7 linked regions of the Coturnix japonica genome follow. The main gene of each other region encodes a partner of the protein of the gene in region 2 in a complex. Links are inferred from orthologs where the notes say so. Each region holds a gene or a part of one and is shown on either strand. Other genes may lie near its edges. The genes, in order: BCL9, CTNNB1, FBXW11, cadherin-1, LEF1, CTNNA1 and NR5A2.

Region 1 (3,500 bases), on a different chromosome or scaffold from region 2:
GATGTGATTTCTTCTCTCTTCCTCTTTCCTCCTTCCAGACTGCAATTCTGCTGATCATGTGAAGTCCCAGGATTCTCAGCACACACCGCACTCCATGACACCTTCAAATGCTTCAGCCCCAAGGTCTTCCACACCTTCCCATGGCCTGACTGCTGCTCTGGAGCCAGCAAGTGGGCAGAAGACTCCATCCAAAGTGGTTTACGTTTTTTCTACTGAGATGGCCAACAAGTAGGTAGATGCTTGAATGTCTTCAGGGAGAGGGGCTTACATTTTTATTCCCTTTTCATGAAACTTTCAGGTGCCCTTTCTCGGTCAAGTACGTTTTTGTAGCAAAAAGGCAATGCTGAGTGTTTTGGTGGTGCTGGAAGGGCTGGAATGGGGAAAGAGGCCTTTTGCTCTCTGAGAAGCGATGATATATTCCTATGGGGGTGCATTTTTGGCAGATGCCAATATTATATTGGTTTGTAATCCACACAGCAAGTGTGAGCCGGGGTGACTTAAACCAAGACGTGACTCTTTAAGTGTTGTTGTGTCCGTAGATGTAAGTATTTTCTTTTTGCTGCCTATGTGCTATCAATTATGTGTGGTTGTCTTTTACCCTTCTGCCAGCTGAAAGGTGAAGAATGCTGGTTAGGAAAATCTGATTCTTAGCTTCAACTGGATATGTGCGTTTGTCTGTCTGTCTTTGCAGGGCTGCAGAAGCCGTGCTGAAGGGACAGGTGGAAACCATTGTGTCCTTTCATATCCAGAACATCTCAAACAGCAAGGTGGAACGAAACACTGTACCCTTGGTAGGGAGCTGCCTGCAAGTGGGTGGGAAGGGGAATGTTCAGTTTGCTTGTGATTCGGAGAGTTGGGTGATTGTTTATGCTCTGAAATAAGTCTTAGGATGGAAAACAGAGAGATGGTGGTTGTTCTAGCCTTCTGCAAATAAATGTCTTGAATTATCCAAAGAAGAGTGTGTCTTGCAATATTTGGGTAGTATATTTCCAACCCACTGATGACGCAGAGCTAATGCAGAAGGAAGGGGTACCTGCTGTGATGCTTGAGCAAAAGTGTGTGGGGTTTTTTTGTTGCTTTGTTATTTATGGCCAAGATGCTGCTCTGTAAATGTTGTTTACAAAGAGACTACCCTTCCTTGCAGAGTGTGTGTTGGTGGGGTTAGGACATTACATTGGCACCTCTGCTTACATGGCACAGCTGTAAGAAGAGAGTGATGGCATGTGGCTTTCTCTTTCAGAACCCCCAGATCAATGCACTTCGGACTGAACCCAAACCCCTGCCGCAGCCACAGCCCCCTGCTGCCCAGGACCAGAACCCTCCTCAGAACGCCAAAATGCAGCCGACTCCGCCTGTGTCAGCACCAGTATCCAAATCCACCGGTCCCCCGTGTCCCATAGACCAGGACAGTCCCAGCGTAGAAAGCAAAGTGATGTCTGTGGGCAGCCCTGCCAACTCGACCCCGCTGCAGACAGAAGGATTTGGGCAGAGTTCAACCCCCAATAATCGAGCAGTTAGCCCTGTTTCCCAAGGTAGCAATAGCTCTGCTGCAGACCCCAAAGGTCCTCCCCAGCAGGTGTCTGGTGGGGACCCGTCCAGTTTGGGTGAGAATCCAGATGGACTGTCGCAGGAGCAGCTGGAACATCGAGAGCGCTCATTGCAGACCCTGAGAGACATACAGCGCATGCTCTTCCCTGATGAGAAGGAGTTTGCTGGAGGGCAAAGTGGAGGGCCACCTCCAAATTCTGGGGTGATGGATGGTCCCCAAAAGAAACCTGAAGGGCCAATACAGGCCATGATGGCTCAATCCCAAAGTTTAGGCAAAGGGTCAGGGTCTCGGACAGATGGAGGGGCTCCATTTGGCCCTCAAGGACACAGGGACATGCCCTTTTCCCCAGATGAAATGGGGCCACCACCAATGAACTCCCAGTCGGGACCTATAGGTCCAGACCACCTGGACCACATGACTCCTGAGCAGGTGGCCTGGCTTAAGCTGCAGCAGGAGTTCTACGAGGAGAAGAGAAGAAAGCAAGAGCAGGTTGTTGTGCAGCAGTGTTCCCTGCAGGACATGATGGTCCATCAGCACGGGCCTCGTGGGGTTGTCCGAGGCCCCCCTCCTCCCTACCAGATGACCCCTGGGGAAGGCTGGGGACCTGGGGGTCCAGAGCCCTTCCCTGAAGGCATGAACATGTCACACTCTTTGCCCCCCAGGGGCATGGCCCCTCATCCCAACATGCCTGGGAGTCAGATGCGCCTGCCTGGTTTTGCAGGAATGATGAACCCTGATATGGAGGGCCCCAATGTCCCAAATCCTGCCTCTCGGCCGGGGCTTTCAGGAGTCAATTGGCCAGACGATGTGCCAAAAATCCCAGATGGCCGAAACTTCCCTCCCGGCCAAGGTGTCTTTAGTGGCCCTGGCCGAGGGGAGCGGTTCCCCAACCCGCAGGGCCTGCCGGAAGAGATCTATCAGCAGCAGCTGGCTGAGAAGCAGATGGGCCTGCCTCCTGGCCTCAACATGGAAGGCATCAGGCCTGGCATGGAGATCAACAGAATGATCGCCTCCCAGAGACACATGGAGCCTGGGAATAACCCCATCTTCCCTCGCATGCCTGTGGAAGGGCCAATGAGTCCCTCCAGGGGGGAGTTCCCAAAAGGAATGCCCCCCCAAATGGGCTCTGGCAGGGAGCTGGAGTTTGGGATGGGCCCTGGTGGCATGAAGGGGGACATGGGTATGAATGTCAGCATGGGCTCCAACCCACCCCTGGTACCTCAGAAGTTGAGGGAGGCGGGAGTCGGGCCGGAAGAGATGATGAAACTGCGACCGGGTGTCTCGGAGATGCTCTCCTCTCAGCAGAAGATGGTGCCGCTGCCGTTTGGGGAGCACCCGCAACAGGAGTATGGCATGGGTCCCAGGCCTTTCCTTCCCATGTCTCAGGGCCCGGGAGTTGGTCTCCGAAACCTCAGAGAACAGATGGGGCCCGACCAAAGGACTAACAACCGGCTCAGCCACATGCCGCCACTACCTCTCAATCCCACCAGTAACCCTAATAGCCTCAACACTGCTCCCCCCGCGCAGCGCAGCCTGGGCCGCAAGCCCCTGGATATCTCTGCAGCCGGTCAGGTGCATTCTCCAGGAATCAACCCTCTGAAGTCTCCCACCATGCGCCAGGTCCAGTCTCCCATGATGGGGTCTCCCTCGGGGAACCTCAAGTCTCCTCAGACTCCCTCCCAGCTGGCAGGAATGCTCGCAGGTCCCACTGCTGCAGCTGCTGCTGCTTCCATCAAGTCCCCTCCGGTCTTGGGGTCTGCTGCTGCTTCTCCTGTCCACCTCAAGTCACCATCCCTCCCCGCACCTTCACCGGGATGGACTTCGTCTCCAAAGCCTCCTTTGCAGAGCCCTGGCATCCCCCCGAATCACAAGGCGTCTCTCACCATGTCTTCTCCGGCCATGCTGGGGAACGTGGAGTCGGGTGAGTGCTGCCTTTTCCAGTCCATCCTGG
Region 2 (2,151 bases):
AGGAGATAATGTTCAATATTTCAGCTGAAGTGCCTTTTCTTTCCCTGACTGTAGGAGGGTGTGCGCATGGAGGAAATCGTAGAGGGCTGCACTGGAGCTCTGCATATTCTTGCACGTGATGTTCACAATCGAATTGTTATCAGGGGTCTAAATACCATTCCACTATTTGTGCAGGTAAGCTGGAGCTCAAGAAAATGCTGTAGTACATACTAGTATAACTTCCCCAATGCCTTGTTGGTAGAACTGTTAATTTGCATTGTACTAAAGTTCTTTTCAAGCAGAAGAGTTAAAAGAAACCCTTGTTATGATTGCAGTTGTTGTACTCCCCCATTGAGAATATCCAGAGAGTAGCTGCGGGTGTACTTTGTGAACTTGCTCAAGACAAGGAAGCAGCTGAAGCAATTGAAGCTGAAGGTGCAACTGCCCCTTTAACAGAACTACTCCATTCTAGGAATGAGGGTGTTGGTAAGTGAACTTAAAATTAAGTTTCATACTTACTGGAAAAGTATCAAACATCAAAAGAATTGATGTTGACTAAATTCACTTTACTTTTTTAATAGCAACATATGCAGCTGCAGTGCTGTTCAGAATGTCTGAGGACAAACCACAAGACTACAAGAAGCGACTTTCAGTTGAACTGACAAGCTCTCTGTTCCGGACTGAGCCAATGGCTTGGAACGAGGTGAGTTGTGTCCTTGTGTGAATGGTAACTTGGGGAGACTTTACTTTCAAGTCCCTCTTCCTTCCAGTAGTGAAGTGTAGATGCCATCAGTGATATGGATTCAGTTTTACACATGTCTGTAGCTTCCTTACTCTTTACATGTTCATGTTCAGCTTGTAGGTTTGTAGAAAATGGTGCAAGCTTCAAATGTATACTCTTGTCCTAGGGCAGAAGTTTATATCTAAACAGGTGAAACTGACAGTTTTGGGAATTCATTACATAGGGCAAGAAACCTCTCTAGAACTACAGACTTGCTCAAGTAGAATAATGAGCGAGTAGCCTTAGAGCTGCTGCTTTAGTGCTTTCTTTTCAGATACAAAGAGTCTAAAGTTTAAGTCTCATTTTGCTCTGTGTGTAAGAACTCTGTAGGTCTCTGTGCTGCTTCTCATTTGAAAGGACAGCTCAGCAGTAATCTTTAGGAATTTCAACCAGTTCTTGCAGGTTGTCCAAACCTGATGAACTGATGATAGGATACAAGCATAACCATAACACTCCTCTAAGGACTCTTATTTAGCAAACTCTGTAGGACTAAGAAGCTTGGTGTGGGTATGCCACTTTTATGTTCTCATTAATTGAGAATTGAGCTCTCAGACTTGGAAGTATTTGCAAGCTATTACATGAAATTTTTTCATGCTTAAAGGCCAGCACAGTGAATTGAGACTGAAAACTGCCATTGGGGAATGTTTCACTAAATCTGTCTTTCCCCATATACTTACTTAACAGTCTTACCTTAATAATATGTAGTAGCCTTTGGTTTGTAGTATTTCAGTGTTCACCTCTGATTTCCTGAAGTCTGTATCCATCTAACATGTTAACATGAGAAAACATAGCAAAAATGGTGTATCTTTTTGAAATACAGTGCAGAAGAGTTGGTTAAAAAGAAAAAGGATTTATGGCAAGCTTTAGAATTTCTTAAATTCAATTATTAATGTTGGCCCTAAGACCTGATGTGAAAACTGTTCTGTATCTTTTTGTGCACATCTAGACAGCGGATCTTGGACTTGACATTGGTGCCCAGGGAGAACCTCTTGGATACCGCCCAGATGGTATGTCTGTTCCATTCCCCTTGACTAAGCTTAATATAAGTCAAGTCATTGACTGTAAAGGAGAACTGCAAATGGCTGAAGAGTAAATTACTCCTCAGCAAGATATTGCAAACTGACAGGCAGATGGGGAACTGCCAGTTCAAATAAGCAGTTTCTGCAACACCTCTGGCTGCACTGAAATGGGAGCCATATGAATGTGCAAAATTGGTGTCGCTTGTCTGAGTCTTGCAAGAGAATCTCCCACTGAGCTGCTGTTTCCAGAAATCTTTTAAATCCTTTACAGATGGACTTGACAATTCCAGAAGTGCAGTTTTTCTTTAAAACAAATGTTGGTATGGTATATATATTAGTCTTTAAGTGCCAGTAGACTTAAGTCTATTGCTA
Region 3 (3,500 bases), on a different chromosome or scaffold from region 2:
CCCAGCTGAGGACCTGCCCTGTAGCATGGAGACCCAAAAGCAGTTTTCTGCCCTTCTCAGCTATGAGTCAAGGCCTGTGCCAGTTACAATCTGCCTGTTTGCAGGCCAGTTTCACATTAAGATGTGCCTTTCGAGTGGCTCAAGTCTGAAAATGCAGAGCAAAAATCACATTTTAATTCTCATCTGAATAAGGTTGACCTACGTTTCCACAGAACCAAGATGAGAACTTGTTCCCCTTAACTTCGAGAACATGACATTTCTGAAACAGTCTTCTCAACTCATCACATGGATACTTGTGCTAGAACTGCAGGGAAAACCAAATAGTTGGCCAGGCTTCACAAATAATATGGAAAAAATCCAGGGACTTGGGGTTCTGCAATCAGCAGTATTAAGCTTCCCATCTTGTCACGCTGCCCATTAACACAACCCACTCCAAACAGCTGACCTTCATGCAGTGCTTCAGGACTGCACCCAGTCACAGGACACCTTGCAGCAAAAAAAATTCTGTAAACAAGTCTCACAAAACCAAATTCCATTTGCTAAGATATGCCCACAAATGGGTTTTCCCCTAAATATATATATATCCTACAGGGGCTTGGCAATCCAACATAGAACTTGGAGACATTTAGCACTGCTGGACCACTTCTTGTGAAATGAAACCTTATTAAATATTTGGCTTCACGGTGGAGGGAGAGACCTCTTTCCAAGAATTTGGTTTCAGATCTCTAAATGTCCTCTTCTTTTCGAATCCGATGACTTCAGAAGTGACATTATGTTCCTAAAATGTGTTTGGCATGAAATAAACAGACACTGGCACTAATAAACCTTCAGAGAGGCAAGGGAGCCTCATCTGCTGAATCACAGCCTGTCCTACCTTGCAGTTAATGACACTTCATGGCTGCGTGGACTTTTGACCTAGAATGCAAATAGAGTCTGAAGAAAACAATTCACATTCGCTACATATCGTTCCTCAGATTCCCTTCCAATCATTAATTCAAGCCTTGGATTAGTTTTCAGTTCTCTCAGTCAACCAGAAGAATGGAGGACATTACTTGTAGAGCTCATCTCCACTCACAAAGCCAGTGCAGCATCAGCTTCTGTAAACTGGTACCTCCTCACATCAGTAACAGCATAGCAAAACACGTTCCATCTTTGCTCTCTACAGGTACAATACTGACTGATTAGATTTTCTGTCACATCAAATAGCTTTTACTGTATTAAAAATAAAGAAATTGGGCCCCTTGGATGCAAGATAATATAGATACTAAGTTGATCACACTGCAGTGCTAATACAGTAGCCTTGGTAGGAGGACAAATGGAGCGTCTGCATCACTGGCTCATCATGAGCTGCCTAAGCTCTGACAGAAAATGAAGATCTCATTAAAGGCCCAGACAAACATTTAAAGAAAAAACATCTTGATATTCAGAGATAGAAACCTCTTCAACTCTGCTAAAATGAAAGTCTTATTCCGCATATTGCTTTGAAAAGTGAAGAAACTGGAGAAGTATGAAAGTAAGGGCAAGTGTAACTTTAGGCTTAAAAGGCCCGAACAGATGCAAAATCAAAACCAAGCAGAAGAAAGTTAGGAAGCATTCCAAGCCTTACAGTTAGCTCTTGTTGCCACTGTTGCCCACCACCCACCTTTCTAAACAAAGTTAAAAGCTTCCTTTGACAGTTCTTTAGAGAAGCAATTTGGGAAAAAAAGTTTTAAAAGGGTGATTTATAAGAAAAATCTAATATACCCTTGGATTCAGATGAATTATAGGGGACCCTGGGCTATTAGCAAAAACACCAACCCCACTCCAGGTTGGAAACCTAAAAACAGCAGTGTTTCAAAAGCCTGAAGCACTGACATGGTACAACACCACCATCACTTACCATCACTATATTGTCACTGCCCTTCCTTACACATACAACTCCTTTCAAATACTAAGATGTGCATTGTTCAGGTAGCAAGCATCAAATTTGATCTCTCTTCACCTGTGTGACATTTAACCCTTAGTTCTGCACCTTTAGATGTTCATTAATTGTGTAACAGGGGCTAAAAATATTTAAAAATTGGATTATATTCTGCAGCAGTTACGTTTTACAGGTAGACTAAGAGCTCTGAATGATTTTACAGAGTGCCAAGCAACACAGACTCACATTTGCCATAGCGGAATGATTCTATTAGATCACATCTGCCTTAAACATCAGAACACATTTCCCCACTAATGAACTTCAGACCAAAACTTTATACCCATCACGTGGCTGAAATAAATATAAATTCTACTGCAGATATGACATGTCAGAAAACATACCTCTATGTCCTGTATTATCTTTGGGTATAAGGACCTGTAAAACGAATTTGGGGGGCCATCTGTTGGCCTGTTTTTAAACAGGTACTGATCCCTAGAAAGAACCAGAAACATATTTTTCAGTTTATCATGAAGAAACCAAACCGCAAAGGAATTCAAAATCTGCAAAGAACAAGAACTTACAATACATTCTTACAGAATACTTGTCATAATTTGTAGTATTGAAATTATAACCCTTGTGACTTTACAATTTGACAGCTATATTTGAAAAGAAACAGGTGTTTTCCTTATGGCTTTCTGATTGAGGGTCCTCTGCTTCACAAGGCTTTGACCAGCAGGGTGTCCTCCTCTTGCACAGCTCCTTACAGCATGCCTTGCATTTTCTTAGGCACACCACTAGAGAGCATAGACAAACACATTTCTAAAGCAGAACACCTGATACCTTCAATATCCTTGTGAAGGATGAAAAGCTTCTTTGCTGCTGCTGCCCCAGCAGTCCACAGGAGGGATAAGAGCTGCAGTGATACTATCAATTGCTCTTTGGTAATGCTCACAATTAGTTTCATTTATCAAGGGAAACACAGTAAGAGATGAATTATTGTCTGGGTACTTACCAACCCCTTCTTTCTGACAGTCCCTTCCACAGCGGATCTGTGCGTACCATTCTTTCAATCAATTTTTTCCATAGCATTCCCTCAGAGATGACTCTCTGCCACTCCTTGCATACCAGCTCTGCTGCACAGAGTGATCTGGCATCAAGATAGGAAAGGATGTTTTCTGCTATGTGATCTAAGCCTTGCTCTACAAAGAAATAAAGGCAATCAACACGTCAATCACTTCGCAGTAAACTACTAAACATGTTTTACAGTACAGAGAGAAAGCTAACACAGCTTTATATTTAAGGCACCAGAGCAAATGTGATTAATCATATCATACAGAGAAGTATCAGTCACAAATAAATCCCACCAGATACACCAAAATACCTCTCTCCTTAGTCCTTTCCTACTACTAGGCTGTTCCATTTTCACAGAAAGAATGAGAGCAAACTAAGCTTCACCGCTGTGCATCAGCAGCAGAAGCACCTTGCTGCCTCTCAGCACAGAATGTTGGATGTTTTAAGCACATAATCCATGGGGCTACACGGCCCAAGAAGCAGGTATTCCTCAAGATCTGTAATACAAGGTTGTAATATTGATTCCTGC
Region 4 (4,126 bases), on a different chromosome or scaffold from region 2:
GCAGGACTCACGAACCTGATGCCAGCTGCACCGCGGCCTGGACGCCCGCCCTGAGGTGATCCGCAATGACGTGGCCCCCACCGCTGATGGCCGCCCCCCAGTACCGCCCCGGCCGGCCAACCCCGATGAGATCGGAAACTTCATCGATGAGGTGAGCCCGACCGTTCTGCCGCCGCACTGCTGGGCTGCCCACAGCGTCCCCATCCCATAGGGCTGAGCGCGGGGGGAGCAGCGGGTGAGCCCTTCCTCTGCCCTCCTACAGAACCTGAAGGCGGCTGACACGGACCCACGGCCCCCCCCTACGACTCCGCTGCTGGTGTTCGACTACGAGGCGGAGGTCGGAGCCACCTCGCTAGCTCCCTCAATCTCCTCCGCCTCCGACCAGGACCAGGACTACGACTACCTCAACGAGTGGGGCAACCGCTTCAAGAAGCTGGCGGAGCTCCTATGGCGGTGGGGAGACGATGACTAGCCCCCAACCAGCGCTGCTGCTGCCCAAAGCCTTACCCTGCCCGTGCCTTGGGGCCGCGCTGCCCTCTCCTGCACTCCCTGTGCTGTTTGAAGCAGCCTTGGCTTCCTCCTGTGTGTTTCAACTTTTTTTTTTTAAGCAACTATGAATTTGATGTAGTGGGGTGGTATCAGGGTGGTACCGTTGTGGTACCGGGGTGGTATCAGGGTGGTACTGTTGTGGTACCAGGATGGTACCAGCGGGCTGAGCTGGGGCTGTAGAAGTTTTAGGGAAGTTTTAATAAAGGATGTGGTTTTCCTTTTTCCTTTTTTAAGACCCTTCTCTGTCTCGCTGTGATTCTGTGCACCCCAAGGGCTCAGAGCAGACCCCCCTCACCCGGGGCTGGCTCAGCCCCATCCCCTGTGTGCAGCGATGGGGAGTGCAGGGAGCAGCGCTGCCCATCCCCAGGGCTCTGCCCGCTTGGCGCTCAGCAATAAGTGCATTAAACAACTTAACTGCGTTAACCACGCCGGCTGAGCACGGCGCCTAAGGGGGAAATGGAGCGCTGCTGCTGCCGTGCCACGGCCAGGGCTCGGCTTCTGTCCCAGCTCGGTACGAGCAGCCCCAGTGTCTGTGTGCAGACTCTGCCCCGCTGCAGCCGCGGGGGCGGCGGTAGCACTGAGTGTCGCTGCTCACCCCGGCCCCAGCGCAGCGCCGCAGTTCGCAGAAGGGACCGACCCCGCCGCCCCCTCGTCCCCCCGTGGGCCTCGCGCCCGTGGACGGCGCCGTGGGACGGGGCGGGCGGGACGGGGCGGCCCCGGTGAGGCGGAGCGGGGCGGGGAGGGGCCCGGCGGGGCCAACACCTGCGGGCGGGGCGCTCCCACCTGCGCTTGGCGGAGGCAGCGCTCGGCAGCTCCGTCCGCGGCGGTACCGGCCCGGTCCCTGAGCCATGGGCCGGCGGTGGGGTTCCCCCGGCCCGCAGCGCTTCCCCGTGTTGGTGCTGCTGCTGCTGCTCCAGGTGCGGGGCTGCCGGGCGGGACGGAGGGGACGGAACGGGACGGAAGGGGTCGGGGCTGACACCTCTCTCGGGCAGGTGTGCGGCCGGCGGTGCGACGAGGCAGCCCCCTGCCAGCCCGGCTTTGCTGCAGACACCTTCACCTTCAGCGTGCCCCGGGACAGCGTGGCGGCGGGCAGGGAGCTGGGACGAGGTAGGAGCACGGGGGTGGCTGGGGGGACAGAGCTGTGGTCGTGGGGGTGGGTTGGGTGTGCGCCACCAGAGGTGATGAGAGACACGGGAACAGGCTCAGCGTGGTACCGAAGGTGGCTGGTACCAAGGACGAAGGTGTTCCTGTTGGGACGGGTTCAGTGCGTGGCAAAGTGGCATAGAAATATGGTTGGATGGGGGGCTGGGTGCGTGGCACCGAGGGTGGCCATGGGGAACAAAGCCATGGCTAAGTGCCCGTGTGCCCTGCGTGCTGTCAGGGCCGGCTGCACTATGTCCAGTTCAGTGCTGGTGGCCATGGGCACACGGAGCCGTGCCTACGTGTCCCAGCTCCACGAGCAGCCCGGTGGTGCAGGTGCCGGGGCAAACAGGGGCAGTGGGCGCCTCTCCCAGCAGCACCGAGGCGGGCGGCGCTGACTCAGGCAGAGCTTGTTGGGGCCGGCAGGCTGGGTGTGGGGCATGGAGCCCGGCCCTGAGCCTGTGCTGAGCCCACATCCCAGCACCCAGCACACATCAGCACCCAGCTCACAACAGCACCAAGCCCACATCCAAGTGCCGAGCGCCCGTCCTGGTGCAGAGCCGTGCGTGGGTGCGGGTGGTGGTTCTTAGGAAGGGTGGCTCAGGAGTTCCAGTCTGAGTTTCGCCCACGCTGGGGAGTATCGGGGCTGGGAGCTGAACCCTGCACTGTACCAACGCATTCCATGTTTGTGAACTTTCTGTTAATCATTTACCCGGGCTGTGCAGCGCCAGCAGGCTGTGCCCATTGGGGCAGTGACTGACATCAGGGTGACGGGCAGCTGTGTGCCAGGCAGCACTAACCCAGCACACAGCGATGGCTCCCAGCTGGAAATCCCCGCTGCCGAGCACCAGCACTTCCCGTCTGGGGCTGGGGACAGGGGGGGTGTGTGGGAGTTGGGCGTCCTGTCTGGGTCTGCCCGCGCGTGCCAGCGCTGCTGCCACAAAGCCTGACCACAGAGCATCCTGCCGTGCCCTCCGTGCCGTGCAGCCTTTCAAAAGCCCCATCTGTGGCTCAGCACGAGCAGCGTGATGAGCTTCCCTGTAATTACCCGATGAGCCGAGCGCTGTGTTTGCAGTCAGACAGGTCTGGATTGGCCCCGCACAGCGCTCGGGTGGTGAACATCAGTGGGAGCTCCAGGGGCTGGTGGGTGCAGCTCTGGGCTCCCCAACGGCGCTGCAGCTGCCTGCCTGATGAAAGGGCTTGGTGGAGGAAGGAGCAATTTCCTCCATGTTAATGCGGGCTGTAAAAGCTGCACGGCACGATGCTTTCTGCTGGGTGCTGGGGCTGCTGCTGCCCCACACCCCAAGGGAAGGACAGACAGCACCTGCCCCGCATCCCTGGGGCTCAGCTCAGCCTCACTTACTGAGCAAAGGGTCCTAAGGGAGGGGATGGGATGGTGGATCCCAGGCAGGAGCTCTGAGGGAGCCCTCGGCTGTGTGGGTATGGCACCTTATGGGAGGAACACGGGTGTGCAGCCAGGTGTGACGCTTCCCAGTTGCGTAGGTCCCGGATCAGCCCCAAATGGGAGAAAACCGAGAGTCTGAAGTCACGGTGAAACTCGGTGATGTCAGGCCCTGGCAGGACGTGTGGCTCACTGCGCTCTTGCAGCACTTTCACCCTGGCTGCTCATGGCTGACGTGTGCCTCTCCCCGCCACCAGCTTCCGCCCCGGCACAGCCGCACTTGCACAACCTGCGTGGGGATGGGGAAGAACATTGGGATGGTGGCACTTGGCTGCGCCTGTGACTCACCCTGTGCCCAGCCCCAGTGAGACACTTTCCTGTGTCGCAGCAGAATGGGGGTAGCTTGGTGTCCCCAGGTCCCAGCCCAGTGTGGAGGGCTCACCTCCCCACCCCAGCTTTGAGCCGGTAATTCGCTGGTTTGGGCCCCACGGCCAAACGCATTTGAAGGTCCAGGAAATCAGTGGCACTCAGTTGCCTCCCGCAGTGCAGGAGCCCCTGAGCTCGACCCCTGCCCCACGCCTTGCCGAGGCCCCATTGGCTCAGTGCCCCGGGGAGAATGGAGCTGGGAGGGGCTGGCTTTCAAGTGTGGAGCTGGAAAAACAGGTTGTGCACGGCCGGGCGCAGAGGGGGAGATGGGGAGAGGGGGAGAGGGGGAGCTTAGCAGCGGTGCGGGGCCGGGTGCTGTGCACGGTGCGCTCCGCCGGCCAAGTGCCAGGAGCCGGGTACCCGCAGGGATGGGGCACCTCCCCACTGCGAGCACACGGTGCGGGAGCGCCCGGCGTGCCCCAGCACAGCCCTGCACAGCCGGTATCACCGGCTGGCCCGCCTGGGTTGGCATCGCCCCGCAGGGAGCGCGGCACGGCGGTGGGCGAGCAGCCCCCGGCCCAGCTCTGCCATTACCTCCCCCTCGATGTTGTCTCTGAATTCCTGGGCTGCCTGCAGGCTGATGTAACACGGGACGCTGGGACAGGTCCC
Region 5 (4,025 bases), on a different chromosome or scaffold from region 2:
GCGCACACGTGGGCGCCCTGGCGCGCCTCCATGCTCCTGCCAAATTTAGGCTCACAAAGGGCCCGGGGGGGCTGGCGGGGGGGGGATGAAAGGGGCCGCCGGCGGGACATCAAAGAGCCGCCGCCCCGCCCCGCTCCCGCCCTCCCCTATATAGGGGGCGCCGCTCCGCACGCAACCGGGGGGGCTGTGAGTGGGGATGGGGGGTTGTGTTCTGTTGCCTCCGTTCCTTTCTCGGCGACGGGGCTGGGGTAGAGCGGGGCCGGCCGTCGGGGCTGAAAAATTAAATGATCGTAAAATAATGATTAAAAAAAACCATAATAATAAAACATCCCAATTGCCGAAACTGCCAAACCAAGCTAAAAAGGCGTGAAAAAAGGGAAAAGGGAAAAAAAAAAAAACAACAAAACCCAAAACAACGAAAACCCCACGACGTTCTGCTGTAAAGCAATTCTGTGTGTATAAAAAACAGGATGCCCAAAGCCCGCAGATGTGTATAAGGACCGGGGAGGTCTCGCAGTGCTGACCCAACGCAGCGCCCGCGGAGCGCCGTGCGGTGCCCCTCCGTCCCCGTCTCCGTCTTTCTGTTCCTACTTTCCCCTCTCCTCGTCCGAATCCCTCTCGCCGTGCCCCACTACCTGCTCCCGTCCTCGGTCTCATTCCTTACGGAGCCGTCGGGGGGAAGCGGTGCGGAGGCCCCGCGGCCAACGGAGCGCTCGGCCCCACGCCGCGCTGGGTCGGGCAGGGCACGGACAAGGCACGGGCAGGGCACGGGGCGCCCCGGCCACGGGGCCGGGATGGTGGGGAGCGGTGGTCCGCAGGATGCCCCGCACCGAACGCAACGAGCCGCATCGCTCCGATGTTTCCCGAGTGAGCGCGTCGGATGCTTTTGTTTAGATATTTTTTTTTTCCTTTAATTTTTTGGTTATCGACAAAATCTTTCGAACGCGTGTTCGCTCCCAACGGGGCGGAGAGGGGCACCGCTCCTGTAGCGCTCCCAGCCCCGCAGCGTTCCCGGCCCCGCACAAACGTACCCACACGGCGGCCGCCTCTGCAAACTTTCCCGGAGCCGGGCCCTTCCCCGCCACCCCCCCCTGCCCCTTTGCCGTCCCCCCCCCCCGGTGTCACTCACGGCGGCGGCTCCTTTCATCTCCACCGCCCCCGCCCCGCCCCGACGGCTGGGGCGGGCGGGGTTCGGTTCGCCCCGCGCAGCCCCGCGGCCTCCCTACGCCGTTCCCCCCGCGGCGGGCGCCGAGCGCGGAGGCAGCAACTTGGCGAGGACTTGGTGGGGTTTTTTAATTCATTTCTTTTCTTTTTTTTTTTCCCCCTTCTTCTCTCCTCCTCCTCCTCTCTCGCCTCCTCCCTCGCCTCCTCCCCCGCCGCTCCTCCCGCTCCCTTCCCGCGGCGGGCCGGCGGCCGCAGCAGACGCCGCGCTGCCGCGAGGATGCCGCAGCTGCCGGGGGCCGGGGGCGGCGGGGGGGACCCGGAGCTCTGCGCCACCGACGAGATGATCCCCTTCAAGGACGAAGGGGACCCCCAGAAAGAGAAGATCTTCGCCGAGATCAGCCACCCCGAGGAGGAGGGAGACCTGGCCGACATCAAGTCTTCTCTGGTCAACGAGTCCGAGATCGCGCCCGGCGCCGGCGGGCACGAGGTGAGGGGCCGGGGGCAGCGGAGAGAGGGGAAGGGCGGCCGAGCCCTGGCGAAGGCCCCCTCGGCCCGGCAGGGCTCGGCGCGGGTCCCGCGGGGCGGCCGGCGGTCCCAGCGCTGCCCCGCACCCCCACGGGCCGTGGGCTCTCGGAGGGGTTCGCACTGAACTGTCGGGAAGAAATTCCCGACGCTAAAACAACTTTGGGCCGAGCCGCTTGTCGGTGTTCCTGCCTTTTTTCTGTTTTTTGTTTTTTTATTTTTAATTTTTTTCTTCCCCCTCCCCAAGAAATGCAGTAACGAGGGCAACCTGATTTGCCTTTCGCATTTTGGTACCCATTGGGCGTTTCGGCCGCCGGAGCTCGGCGCGTTCCCGCACGCTGCCCCTCGGGCTGCGCTGTGCCCGGAGGAACCAGCTGTGCTGCCCCGCGCCGTCACTGTCCCGTCTTTTGAGGCGGACGGGCACAGCGAACCACCGCACAGTGACTTCTCCTCTTTTCCTTCCTCCTCTCCGGTGCCGGATTCCCCGCGGTCCAGGTTTCCCGGCAGACTCCAGCGCAGGATTCCTACCATGACAAGGGCAGGGAGCACCCGGAGGAAGGTGAGAACCGCGTGTCCCGCTTGCTGCTCCCACCTTCGGGCTGCAGTTCGTGTCTCAATAATACAGTGTCTGCTGGGGACGGGAAAGCGTTGGGGGTGGAGGTGGATGCACCGCGTGTTTATCTCTGGTGACCAAATGGTTGTCGAAAGTAAGACTGATAAGGAGGCCACATGGATCCTCGCTGAAGAAATCACTGTTTTTAGGATGTTGATTTAACGCAGCACTGCCGGCTGTGTTGGGGAGCAGTGTGATTTCCCCCAAGCACATGGCAGCCCCTAAGCCTCCATCTGAGCAGCCTTCCTGCCCTCTGTAATGCACCGGCGGTTTGTTCTGGCCAAGGAAATAACAAAGTTTGTGGAATATTGCTTAGGGGGTCAGGCACGTGTACAAAGAATGAGTGCTGTGAAGGACAAAGGCTGTGCTTAACGTGCAGTGGTTGTGATCACAGGCTGAAGCAGGTCATCACCTCCACAGGAGTGGGACGCAGCTCAGCCCCAGCGCCTGCCGGGACCCTCTGGTTCCTCACAGAACTGGGCTCTGCACACCCTAACAGCTGCAGTGTCTGTGCTTGTGGCCGTGAGGGAAGATCAGCTCTGTGCAGCTCTTTTTCCCCTTGCACCCTCTGAAAAGCTCACCTGCAGGCAGTCTCGCTGCCCAAACCCGTCCCTTTGCAGGACCCAGAGCCAAGCTGTTTCCTTACAATATCACCTCCCCACATGGGCTCCCCCTCCCCAAGGCCGTGGGTCTGCCCCGTGCCAGCCCTGCCCTCTGCTCCCAGTTAGGAGAGGAGAGAGTGATTGCCCCTTGTTCTTGCTGTCTTCTCCCTCCCCTCCTAGCAGTGATGTGGGGAAGCCATGCTGGCAGTGCTTCCCAGTCCAGCATCCTGGAGGGACGTGCGACGTGGGGGAAAACCGCTGCTTGAGCTACACGATGTCAATGCTGGTGTTTCTGCCTACTCTGGCAGGGACTGGCCAAATAAATGAGTTGCTTTGAGGGTGTGTCACGTTGGCCCCTCGCAAAGTGCACCGACTTCTTTAAGAATTAACTCTTCTTCTTAAAAAAAAATGTGGTTACAAATTGCTGGGACTGTTTTCTGCCAGAAATAATTGCCATAAGCAAGGGAATGTTCTCAGGCTGAATGTTTCCGTGATCATACAGTACCTGTTTAAGTGAGGTGCATGCATGGGGAATAACACCGTCATTGTCTCCTCTTCCCTAGGAAAGCATCCTGACGGTGGCTTGTACAGCAAGGGACCATCGTACTCTGGTTACTCGGGGTATATCATGATGCCAAATATGAACAACGACCCGTACATGCCTAACGGATCTCTGTCGCCACCCATCCCCAGAACAGTGAGTTCTTTCCCTGAAGACTTTTTGGGGTTCCTCTGTGAGTCCCGCAGCGTGTGGCTGCTCTGTGCATTTGGGCTCTGACAGTGTTGGTTGCGGTCCCCGTGCTGAACCCCGTGACGAACCGCAGTGCGCTCGGAGCGGGGCTGGGGAGAGCCCTGCTTTACACTGCGGGATAATGTGCGGTGGGGCGATGTAAATGCTGTCTTTGTAGTCGTGAGGACAGATGTGAATTTTCTGGCGTTAACTCTTTGTTTGTTGAGGAGTCTCGAGGGCTGCAGCGGGGCTGCTCGAGCTGCCTGTCAGCGAGATGAAAAGGCTCGCTCCGCTTTTTGCCACCAGATACGGTATCGCCGGCTGCTGATTGACATTGATTCCCACCATTGGTTGCTCCATGCAAAAAGGCTTTGTGCATCGAAGAGAAATGCTC
Region 6 (4,073 bases), on a different chromosome or scaffold from region 2:
TCAGTGTCGAGAGCCATGGTGTGAAGCACAGTGTGCTCTGCATGACATGGGCTGGGGGCTGGCACCCCAGGAATCTACATGGGCTGAATTGCCTTGCTCCAATGTATGCTCTGCTCCCTGAGGGCTGCCCAGCTCTGTGTTTTGATTGGTATCAAAGGACAGAGCAAATAGGTTCAGGTAACTCGGAAATGCTGGCAAATGAGTCATGAAATGTATTACAGTTATTCATTTGTTTTTACAATCCAGTACGAGCGTAAGTTCTGTAGAGATATTTGAATTAAAAGTCATGTCAAAACAAACTATGAAAAATACCAGTGATTTGATGCAGGGAAAACGTGGTCACTGGCTGTCTTCAAAGCCTCTGAAATACATTACTCCTTGGAGACATCTCTCCCCATCCACAAATCTACATTCATTGACTAACACTCAGCTCCTAAAAGCTCCCTAAGAGCAGGAGCTGCCACTGACCGCACCAAGCAGCACAAGGATGCTGCTTCAGACTTCTGTGTGTTGAGATGAGACACCAAAAGACCAACTAAACTCCGTAACGTCCCAGTCAGGAGCCACAGCACCAACATGGGACATGACAGCAGCTTCACACTGTGACTTTGGGGCCTGCAAGGCTCTTCTAACAGCACTTACAGACTGTCTGTCCAGCCTGGAGCACAGCAGGCTCTGGGGTGACCCTCTGGCTCTGTACAGCTGCCTGTAGGAGCACTCAGTGTTGTGGCAAGTGACAAAACGCAGGGTGAACGCAGCACATTGCACGAGGGGATGTTTAATTTGGGTATAATCACAGAATCACAGAATTGTAGGGGTTGGAATCTCTAGAGATCATCCAGTCCAACCCCCCTGCCAAAGCAGGCTCCCTACACCAATAATAATCATAATTTCTTCATACAAAGGATGGTAAAACACTGGAGCTGGCGATGAGGCCCCGTCCCACAGGCACTGAGAGTGTGGATGTGGCCCTTGGGGGCTGCAATAGTGCTGGTGGGGGGTGGGCTGGGGGGTCCCTAAAGTCTTTCCCAAGCGCAGACATGCTGTGATCTCACTCTGGCCGGTAACTGGACAATTTTTGCTTGTGACTGGAATTGTTGGTTCTGCCCCAAGCACGAGGTGTGTGGGGCGATGTGAGGGTGCTGCAGCCGGGCCTGAAGGGGTGCAGGGCCGAGTGGAGGCGGTGGGACCCCCATGTCGGGCTGACCCCCATGGCGGGCCCTCACCTGCCCGCGGGGCGGCGCGGCGGGCGGTGACGGGAACAGCGGCCGGGCGGGGCGGGAGCGGCGGCGGGAGGCGCCCGGAAGAGCCCATTTCCTGCTCGGGACGGAGCGGGTGCGGCCCAGACAAAGCGGCCGGGGGTCGGTGCGGGTCCGGCGGCGCAGCGCGGCTCCTCGTCCCTGCTCCGGTAACTATCGCACTAGCGCCGCTTTAACGGCGCCTTGGAAACTTTTGGCGGCGGGACGGGCCGGGCTCGGCTGCATTGGGCCCCGCGGGGCGGTCGGAGCTGAGGCCGCGGGCGGGGAGCGGGGCCTGTGGGGCTCCGAGTGGGGCGGGGGCAGCGCGGCCTGGGCCGGGTTCCGGGAGCGGGGCTCGGCCGTGGGGCTGTGGGGTCGTGGGGCTGTGGGGCCGCGCTGTGTGTGTCGGTGTGCCCCGTTTCGGGTGATCCCGGATCAGGGCGGGCGGGGCCCGGCAAAGTCCGGGCAAGTTTCGGTGGCGGCGCGGAGTTCGCTGAGACTTTTCCCCGAGGGCTCGGGCTGCCCGCATGGCTCCTCGGTTCGGCTCCTCGGTTCGGCTCCTCGGTTCTGCCCTGGGCTGTTCCGACGCTTCGGGAGCGGCCTGGCTCTAAGCGCGGTTCTCTCCGTCCGCCCCAGCTGGGAGCGGCGTTGGGCGCTGCCCCCGCTCGTCCTTGGCCGGCCACGACTTGTGTCCCATCGCTCCTATTTAAAGCGTGGGGTGAGAGTGTCAGACCCCAGCTGCTGGCTCACACCAGCCCTCCCGGGGTCACCAGGCGCTCTGCTTTCACACACTGAGCTCAGCATAACGCGTGTGAAGCATCCCGGTGTGGGCACAGCGAGGTGTGTGTGTCTCTTGCTGGGAGCTGGCTGCGGTCTGCCCCCATGTTACCCCCCCACACCCCGTAGAGCTTCCAGACCCCTCTCTTGTTCCCCCTTTATTCCCTGCTTCTGTCTGCCCGTCCTCACCCAGAGGGCGATGTCTGTGTCTGACTGAGCTGCCAGTCGATAACCCCCATGCCCTGCAATAACTCACACTCCCTGTTTGCATTAGGAGTGCCCGTGTCCTCGTTCCAGCACCCAACGTGACCACCCATGGCATGGCTGAGGTGACTGGATTCAATTGCTCTTTCCCCTCACCCCCCACTTCCTTTTCAATCTTCCCCCTCCCTCCCGTCCCCCCTTTTATTTTCCTGGGACAGGGGCTGAATAACCAGAGTTGTTCCTGATGCTGGAGTTGCTTCCTGTGTTATTCCTGCGTGGTGAGCAGGGAAGAGGAGGAGGTGGGGAGGCTCTGCTGGTTGCATGGATCCCAGTGCACATCCCCAGCCCGGCTCTGGTGAGGCTTCACACACTGCCCAGCTCAGTGGGGCCTGTCAGCCCTTGGGCTGGGCTGTGGGGTGGTCATTTTGTGTTTCAATGGTGTGAAAGCCAGTTTGCTTCACAGAACTCGTGGTCTTTGGGTACGGTTTGGACCATCTTTGGGTGCTGTGTGTTTGCTAACACTTGTTTTTCCTTCCTGTAGTGAAATATTTTCTTTGGAAAGGGCATCATTTCATGTTGAGTCATTAACTGATTTTTTTATTCAGAGAAACAGTTTTCAATGGAAATATCTTAGTTCCTCTTCTGAAAAGTCAATGATTTAGTTCTTGGTTGTTTTTTTTTTTGAAGGCTTTGCCCTAACCTTTTCCATAATAAACAACAAGCTTTCAGCCTTTAGCTTTTTCCAGCCAGCTCTAATAATAGAGCAGTGGAGATTAAAAGTTTACCCAGGGTGGCGGGGGGAAGCACAGCGGGTGGAGATTAGAAATCCCGCACCCAAAACGGTGACTTAAAATATTGTAGCGAGTATTTATGTCTCCATAAATTCTCCAGCTTCGTGTAACATCAGCATTTCCAGTGTCTGACATGTGTAATGGCAAATACCAATATACAGCTGCTTCACAGGGTGTCCGTGGGTCTGATAAAGTTAACTGAGAGATGTAATAGAAAAACAATTTGTGTGTTTTCAGCAGCATGAATATCTTCCTCCCGCAGCTGTGAGATGGAGAAACTGATCTTGCAAAAGAATCCACATAAGTAGAAGTGTTTATGAGCTGGAAATAGACTTCAGTAGAATGTCAGACCTTCATTGAAGTTGCATCTACTGTTAGTTCTTAATTTCTAAGGTTATTTTCTTATGAAGAGAGTTTGTTAAGTTCATGGAAGTATTTAATGGCATGGCCAGTCGACTCATCATGGATGCTTAGTAAGGTTGGTATTGAGTGAGGAAGTACAAGGCCATGGTCCTCCCTGAAAGGACTCGGTGTATTGCATCTGGGTTGGTTTTACTGGCACCTCTTGGCTTTGGACATCAGAGGAAACGTGGTGAATAAAAGAGGACTGAATATTATGTTAGCACAATACCATATTGAGATGAGGTCATGTAACACAAAGCTGAATGCCCGTTGTTGTTCCCTGCTGAAGTGCCTTAACTGGAAATCACTCGAAGTCTTACATTGTAGAACATCGGTGTGTATAACCTTGAGGATTTGGGTTCTTTATTACTTCTGGGAATCCACCCTACCTTGGCTTTATAGCTAATCAGGAGTAGCACTGTATGTAGCTCATGCATTGGTCAAACTGAGTTACAGCTTTCCAGGAAGTGCAGATGTTTGACAGTTACTACTTGTATTTTCATATGGCTTTAATCCAACGTGTGAGGCTGGAAAGAAAAACTGCAGCAGCACCTTTGTTGGAGGAACCCAACTGGCAGCGACCTGTGGGGCCATAAGGCAGCAGTGGCTGGCAGAGCGCGATGCAGTGATGTGCCTCATTGAGTTACAGGAGGAATGCAGT
Region 7 (3,500 bases), on a different chromosome or scaffold from region 2:
ACACTGTAGTCACTTAGACCATGAATACTCCGATTCAGTATAGAAAGAGTAAGGAAAATTCCTTGCATTCAGACTGATGAACTAAAACAACCTTGTTTACAAACATCCGATTCTCATCACAAATGCCAGGAATACATTAAAAGCATTTCCTCAGGCTGGATGTGGCATACAAGCCCCAAAACTACTTTTTGTTTAATGTTCATATTAACTGTACTTATCTTTAAATCTGACTAATGCTTTTATTGCCATACCAAAGTGCTTAAAGTTATTTTGAAGTTATTTTTAGCAAGGAAAAGGTTTGACATGCTAATTCTGAAATCATTATACAATTTATCTTCCTGTTTAATGCAGTTTAACTCCCAACATAGGCCATATTTTCTGGGGGAACTTATGTTCTGCCAATTCATTCATGATTGCAATTTGCCTCTGAAAGTAATCTACTAATCATAATTACAACACTCAACTTTTAAATCAACTCACACTCCCTGCAAAATACCTTAGGAGTTTTAAGTACCTACGTGAAAACATAAACAGTTCTTAGAAAACATCCAGAGTAATATATGAAAACACGATTTACCAGAGACACTGGCAAAAAGACTTCAGATAAATAAGTGTGAATAGCTCAGGAGCCATGCACAGCAGCTCTGAAATTTCCAGTTCCCCTCACTCTGGATACTGAAATTTCAGATGATTCCACTCGGACAGTCATCATCACCTTGGTACTGCTCGGGAATTCTTTAACGCCAGATAGCAAAATTCAAGCAGAGGTCATGTCCTGGCTCCCAAGTGAGCAGCATCTGATTCAGGGAGCCACTTGTGTCATTTCCAGAACAAAACTGGGACAGGAAAGAGGCAGACAGTAATGATGAAAGGAACCATCCACCCTGCAGAAAGCCCATGAAAGAGTGAAGCAAAGGGGTAGCCGGCAGCAAGTACAGTATGCTGCAGAGAGCCTCCTGCTCCAAGTCTGTACATGCTACCCAGCTCTGCCATTGGGAACCATGACTTCCCTCCTGTTCTCTGATCCTGAGGAAAAATGTTTGCCTCCTTCAACCATTTTCCTCTTAATCTAGCACAGTTATGAGCAGGAACCATAAGTTCTATTTAAAGCTCTTCTAGGAAAAGGTGCAGTTAGATCCAACTTACACAGCTTTCCAGTGTAATGCATTGGGAAACCAAAGTGTGTTCCTATTTTACAAAGGAAAACACTCATTTCCCCTCCATTCAAAGCTGGGATTTACAATGAACCAAATTCTGCCAAATTCCCCCTCTCCCTTGCTCAAAGAATATCCATATAGGGACACATTTGTCTTAATTCGAAGTGAGTTAGCCGAGTACATATGCTTCTACTGCTGTGCTCTAGCATTACAAGAAACTGTATTACAGTACTCTACTATGGTACAGATGACTGAACATCAACCAAAGTAAGTTCTCCCAGCAAGAGTAGTTTGATTGCTTCCCACTTTCTGCATTATATCAGAAGTCTGATTTGCAAATGTGGGAATAATTTCTGCAATCTTCAGACATGTCAAAAGACAGCATCAAAACACATTTAACAAAGGGACTCAAACAGTACGGAGTCAGTATATTGGCAGACTCTTTCCAGTGGTGCACAGCGATAGGACAAGGGGAAACAGCCACAAACTGGAGCATAGGAAGTTCTGCTCAAATGTGTGTAAGAACATCTTTGTGATAAGGGTGATGGAGCACTGGAACAGGCTGCCCAGGGAGGTTGTGGAGTCTCCTTCACTGGAGATATTCAAGACCTGCCTGGATGCCTACCTGTGCGACCAGGTCTTAGGAGACTGCTTTGGCAGGGGGGTTGGACTTGATGATATCTACAGGTCCCTTCCAGTCCCTACAATTCTGTGACTATGATTCTGTGATTTATCCCTGACTGCCATTTTCATAGCTGAAACTTCCTGTGTAGAAACAGAAAGAAGATAATCAAAGAGAGGAAGAGTGAACAAATCTTGCCTGCTAACTGATGTAAGCACCCATGTTATCCAATACCAAATAAAATTAGCACGTTGGATTTCAGAAAGCATAGTCAGGCTAAAGGGCACCATTTTTATCTGGTATTCCCCCCAAAGGACAATGATTTCAATTTATAAAGATCATTAGTCAATGAAATATATATTTTAGAGAGTTTCTAGTAGGGAAGATTATTTTGGCAGTCACTGGAGTGTACCAGATGGTTCATTAACATAGACTAGACAAGTCAAAGGCTTTCAGAATCGTTTAGAAAATGTCAAACAGAAACAAGAACCCTGTCACTTTTTATTAGAATTAACTACATCATACCCTGGACACAGATTTCACCTTGGGTCAGAAAAATTAATACAGAATTATATGAATTGTGTAACATACTAGGTTAAAGATAGGGCTTCCTCTTGGGACTCATTTGCTAGCAATATATCACGGTCTTCTACTTTAGGAATCCTCAACCTTTCTTTTTGTAAGATATGAAAAGAGCTGACCTTGCTCAGACTCCATTGGTGTCTAATTGATTTGAGGTATATGCAGAATTTCAACAAGACACTCCGCTAAAGCTCTTTGTGATCATTTTCCCAGGAAAGAGAGCAAAAGGGTTTGCTGAATATTCAGCAGCTTGTAGAGTATGCTTTTGTCAGGAGGAAAAAAATAATAATACAAAAAACCCACAATATTTAGCAAAATGTTGCCTTAGTAAGCCGTAATTAAAATGCAACTCAATTGTTCTTACTGTTTTTGTTGTTGTTTTAATTACCATTCAGATGTCAAAAACCTAGAGAACTTCCAGCTTGTGGAGGGTGTTCAGGAACAAGTGAATGCTGCTCTGCTGGACTACACAATGTGTAATTACCCACAGCAAACAGACAAATTCGGGCAGCTTCTCCTGCGACTACCAGAAATCCGGGCCATCAGTATGCAGGCAGAAGAATACCTCTACTACAAACACCTGAACGGAGATGTCCCATGTAATAACCTTCTCATTGAGATGCTGCATGCAAAGAGAGCATAAATTATATCCATTAGAGCTTCTGCTTTCAACGAAAAAATATACTCTGAACTGCTCCAAGCAACACTAATTAAAATGTGGTTTTAAGACTTTGCAAAATGGTATAATAATCAAATACTAATAGTAAATAAGTGATGTATCAGGGTATTTGTATTGCAAACTGTGAATCATATGCTACACATCCCCAAAGGAATCTCTATAGGACTTTATAAACTGGAGAGAAGTAAACATAAAACGTGGATACTATCACCAATGCCAACATGAATAAGGACAGAATGATTCTTGTATATTTAACTTCTGATTGCCAATACGAAGAAATTTAGGGGAAAACTGATCTGTATTATTGAGCTAAGAGAGTGGAGAAATTGAGCGCACTAAATTCCTTCATTGTACAGCAGGACTTCTAGAGCAGTTATAATAGATGCAAAGCTGCATCTACACCATCTTCTATCATTCTTCCAAGGACCCAACACTTCTGTGATAAACAACGTGGCATCCA

What was found.
Region 1: the proteins of CTNNB1 (region 2) and BCL9 are in contact, whole or in part, in a crystal structure (PDB 3SL9), measured with the Homo sapiens proteins. The link is inferred for Coturnix japonica from reciprocal best matches to the Homo sapiens genes CTNNB1 and BCL9. Residues at the interface, in NP_001091679.1 of Homo sapiens: Leu148, Arg151, Ala152, Glu155, Leu156, Leu159, Asp162, Asp164, Val166, Val167, Lys170, Ala171, Met174, Leu178; in NP_004317.2 of Homo sapiens: Asp349, Leu351, His358, Arg359, Ser362, Leu363, Thr365, Leu366, Ile369, Gln370, Met372, Leu373.
Region 3: the proteins of CTNNB1 (region 2) and FBXW11 are in contact, whole or in part, in a crystal structure (PDB 6WNX), measured with the Homo sapiens proteins. The link is inferred for Coturnix japonica from reciprocal best matches to the Homo sapiens genes CTNNB1 and FBXW11. Residues at the interface, in NP_001091679.1 of Homo sapiens: Leu31, Asp32, Ser33, Gly34, Ile35, His36, Ser37, Gly38, Ala39; in NP_036432.2 of Homo sapiens: Tyr244, Arg258, Ser282, Leu284, Ser298, Leu324, Lys338, Ala364, Ala365, Asn367, Gly381, Arg383, Arg404, Gly405, Ala407, Ser421, Leu445, Arg447, Tyr461, Arg494, Phe496.
Region 4: the proteins of CTNNB1 (region 2) and cadherin-1 are in contact, whole or in part, in a crystal structure (PDB 1I7W), measured with the Mus musculus proteins. The link is inferred for Coturnix japonica from reciprocal best matches to the Homo sapiens genes CTNNB1 and CDH1. Residues at the interface, in NP_001159374.1 of Mus musculus: Leu148, Ala149, Arg151, Ala152, Glu155, Leu156, Leu159, Asp162, Val167, Lys170, Ala171, Val173, Met174, Gln177, Leu178, Phe253, Ile256, Thr257, His260, Leu264, His265, Asn290, Lys292, Phe293, Ala295, Ile296, Asp299, Gln302, Ala305, Tyr306; in NP_033994.1 of Mus musculus: Asp788, Val789, Ala790, Pro791, Ile813, Asp814, Asn816, Leu817, Ala820, Asp821, Pro824, Ala826, Pro827, Pro828, Tyr829, Asp830, Ser831, Leu832, Leu833, Val834, Phe835, Asp836, Tyr837, Glu838, Gly839, Ser840, Gly841, Ser842, Glu843, Ala844.
Region 5: the proteins of CTNNB1 (region 2) and LEF1 are in contact, whole or in part, in a crystal structure (PDB 3OUX), measured with the Mus musculus proteins. The link is inferred for Coturnix japonica from reciprocal best matches to the Homo sapiens genes CTNNB1 and LEF1. Residues at the interface, in NP_001159374.1 of Mus musculus: Lys180, His219, Ser250, Phe253, Tyr254, Thr257, His260, Asn261, Leu264, Asn290, Lys292, Phe293, Ala295, Ile296, Asp299, Lys335, Trp338, Thr339, Val349, Gln375, Arg376, Gln379, Trp383, Arg386, Asn387, Ser389, Asp390, Thr393, Asp413, Ile414; in NP_034833.2 of Mus musculus: Gly11, Asp12, Pro13, Glu14, Leu15, Cys16, Ala17, Thr18, Asp19, Glu20, Met21, Ile22, Pro23, Phe24, Lys25, Asp26, Gln31, Lys32, Glu33, Lys34, Ile35, Phe36, Ala37, Ile39, Glu45, Asp47, Leu48, Asp50, Ile51, Lys52.
Region 6: the proteins of CTNNB1 (region 2) and CTNNA1 are in contact, whole or in part, in a crystal structure (PDB 1DOW), measured with the Mus musculus proteins. The link is inferred for Coturnix japonica from reciprocal best matches to the Homo sapiens genes CTNNB1 and CTNNA1. Residues at the interface, in NP_001159374.1 of Mus musculus: His118, Thr120, Asn121, Val122, Gln123, Arg124, Leu125, Pro128, Ser129, Met131, Leu132, Lys133, Ala135, Val136, Asn138, Leu139, Ile140, Tyr142, Glu147, Leu148; in NP_033948.1 of Mus musculus: Ala58, Leu61, Ala62, Ser64, Val65, Gln67, Ala68, Thr69, Asn71, Phe72, Lys75, Gly76, Lys78, Ile79, Glu82, Met104, Ala108, Phe111, Pro115, Cys116, Arg121, Met124, Ala128, Leu131, Leu132, Val135, Leu138, Leu139, Ala142, Asp143.
Region 7: the proteins of CTNNB1 (region 2) and NR5A2 are in contact, whole or in part, in a crystal structure (PDB 3TX7), measured with the Homo sapiens proteins. The link is inferred for Coturnix japonica from reciprocal best matches to the Homo sapiens genes CTNNB1 and NR5A2. Residues at the interface, in NP_001091679.1 of Homo sapiens: Tyr306, Gly307, Asn308, Gln309, Lys312, Lys345, Val346, Val349, Gln379, Trp383, Arg386, Asn387, Asn415, Thr418, Cys419, Gln559, Glu562, Gly563; in NP_995582.1 of Homo sapiens: Ser300, Ile301, Pro302, Glu475, Gln476, Ala479, Leu482, Asp483, Tyr484, Met486, Cys487, Asn488, Tyr489, Pro490, Gln491, Gln492, Thr493, Leu501, Arg507.

The regions. Positions count from the first base shown.
Region 1 is NC_029516.1:82,883,864-82,887,363, forward strand, and holds part of BCL9 (B-cell CLL/lymphoma 9 protein), read left to right. Parts: intron 1-38; coding exon 39-228; intron 229-691; coding exon 692-791; intron 792-1,240; coding exon 1,241-3,470; intron 3,471-3,500. UniProt on the Homo sapiens protein: Involved in signal transduction through the Wnt pathway. Promotes beta-catenin's transcriptional activity.
Region 2 is NC_029517.1:39,927,525-39,929,675, forward strand, and holds part of CTNNB1 (catenin beta-1), read left to right. Parts: intron 1-54; coding exon 55-174; intron 175-314; coding exon 315-465; intron 466-560; coding exon 561-682; intron 683-1,706; coding exon 1,707-1,767; intron 1,768-2,151. UniProt on the Homo sapiens protein: Key downstream component of the canonical Wnt signaling pathway.
Region 3 is NC_029528.1:13,899,016-13,902,515, forward strand, and holds part of FBXW11 (F-box/WD repeat-containing protein 11), read right to left. Parts: intron 3,100-3,500; coding exon 2,913-3,099; intron 2,393-2,912; coding exon 2,302-2,392; intron 1-2,301.
Region 4 is NC_029526.1:16,825,352-16,829,477, forward strand, and holds the start of cadherin-1, read left to right. Parts: upstream 1-1,326; 5' UTR 1,327-1,397; coding exon 1,398-1,466; intron 1,467-1,541; coding exon 1,542-1,656; intron 1,657-4,126.
Region 5 is NC_029519.1:33,527,571-33,531,595, forward strand, and holds the start of LEF1 (lymphoid enhancer-binding factor 1), read left to right. Parts: upstream 1-1,225; 5' UTR 1,226-1,441; coding exon 1,442-1,651; intron 1,652-2,181; coding exon 2,182-2,245; intron 2,246-3,464; coding exon 3,465-3,598; intron 3,599-4,025. UniProt on the Homo sapiens protein: Transcription factor that binds DNA in a sequence-specific manner. Participates in the Wnt signaling pathway. Activates transcription of target genes in the presence of CTNNB1 and EP300.
Region 6 is NC_029528.1:14,039,999-14,044,071, forward strand, and holds the start of CTNNA1 (catenin alpha-1), read left to right. Parts: upstream 1-1,273; 5' UTR 1,274-1,408; intron 1,409-2,553; exon of another isoform or gene 2,554-2,574; intron 2,575-4,073. UniProt on the Homo sapiens protein: Associates with the cytoplasmic domain of a variety of cadherins. The association of catenins to cadherins produces a complex which is linked to the actin filament network, and which seems to be of primary importance for cadherins cell-adhesion properties.
Region 7 is NC_029523.1:1,487,323-1,490,822, reverse strand, and holds part of NR5A2 (nuclear receptor subfamily 5 group A member 2), read left to right. Parts: intron 1-2,756; coding exon 2,757-3,004; 3' UTR 3,005-3,500. UniProt on the Homo sapiens protein: Orphan nuclear receptor that binds DNA as a monomer to the 5'-TCAAGGCCA-3' sequence and controls expression of target genes: regulates key biological processes, such as early embryonic development, cholesterol and bile acid synthesis pathways, as well as liver and pancreas morphogenesis.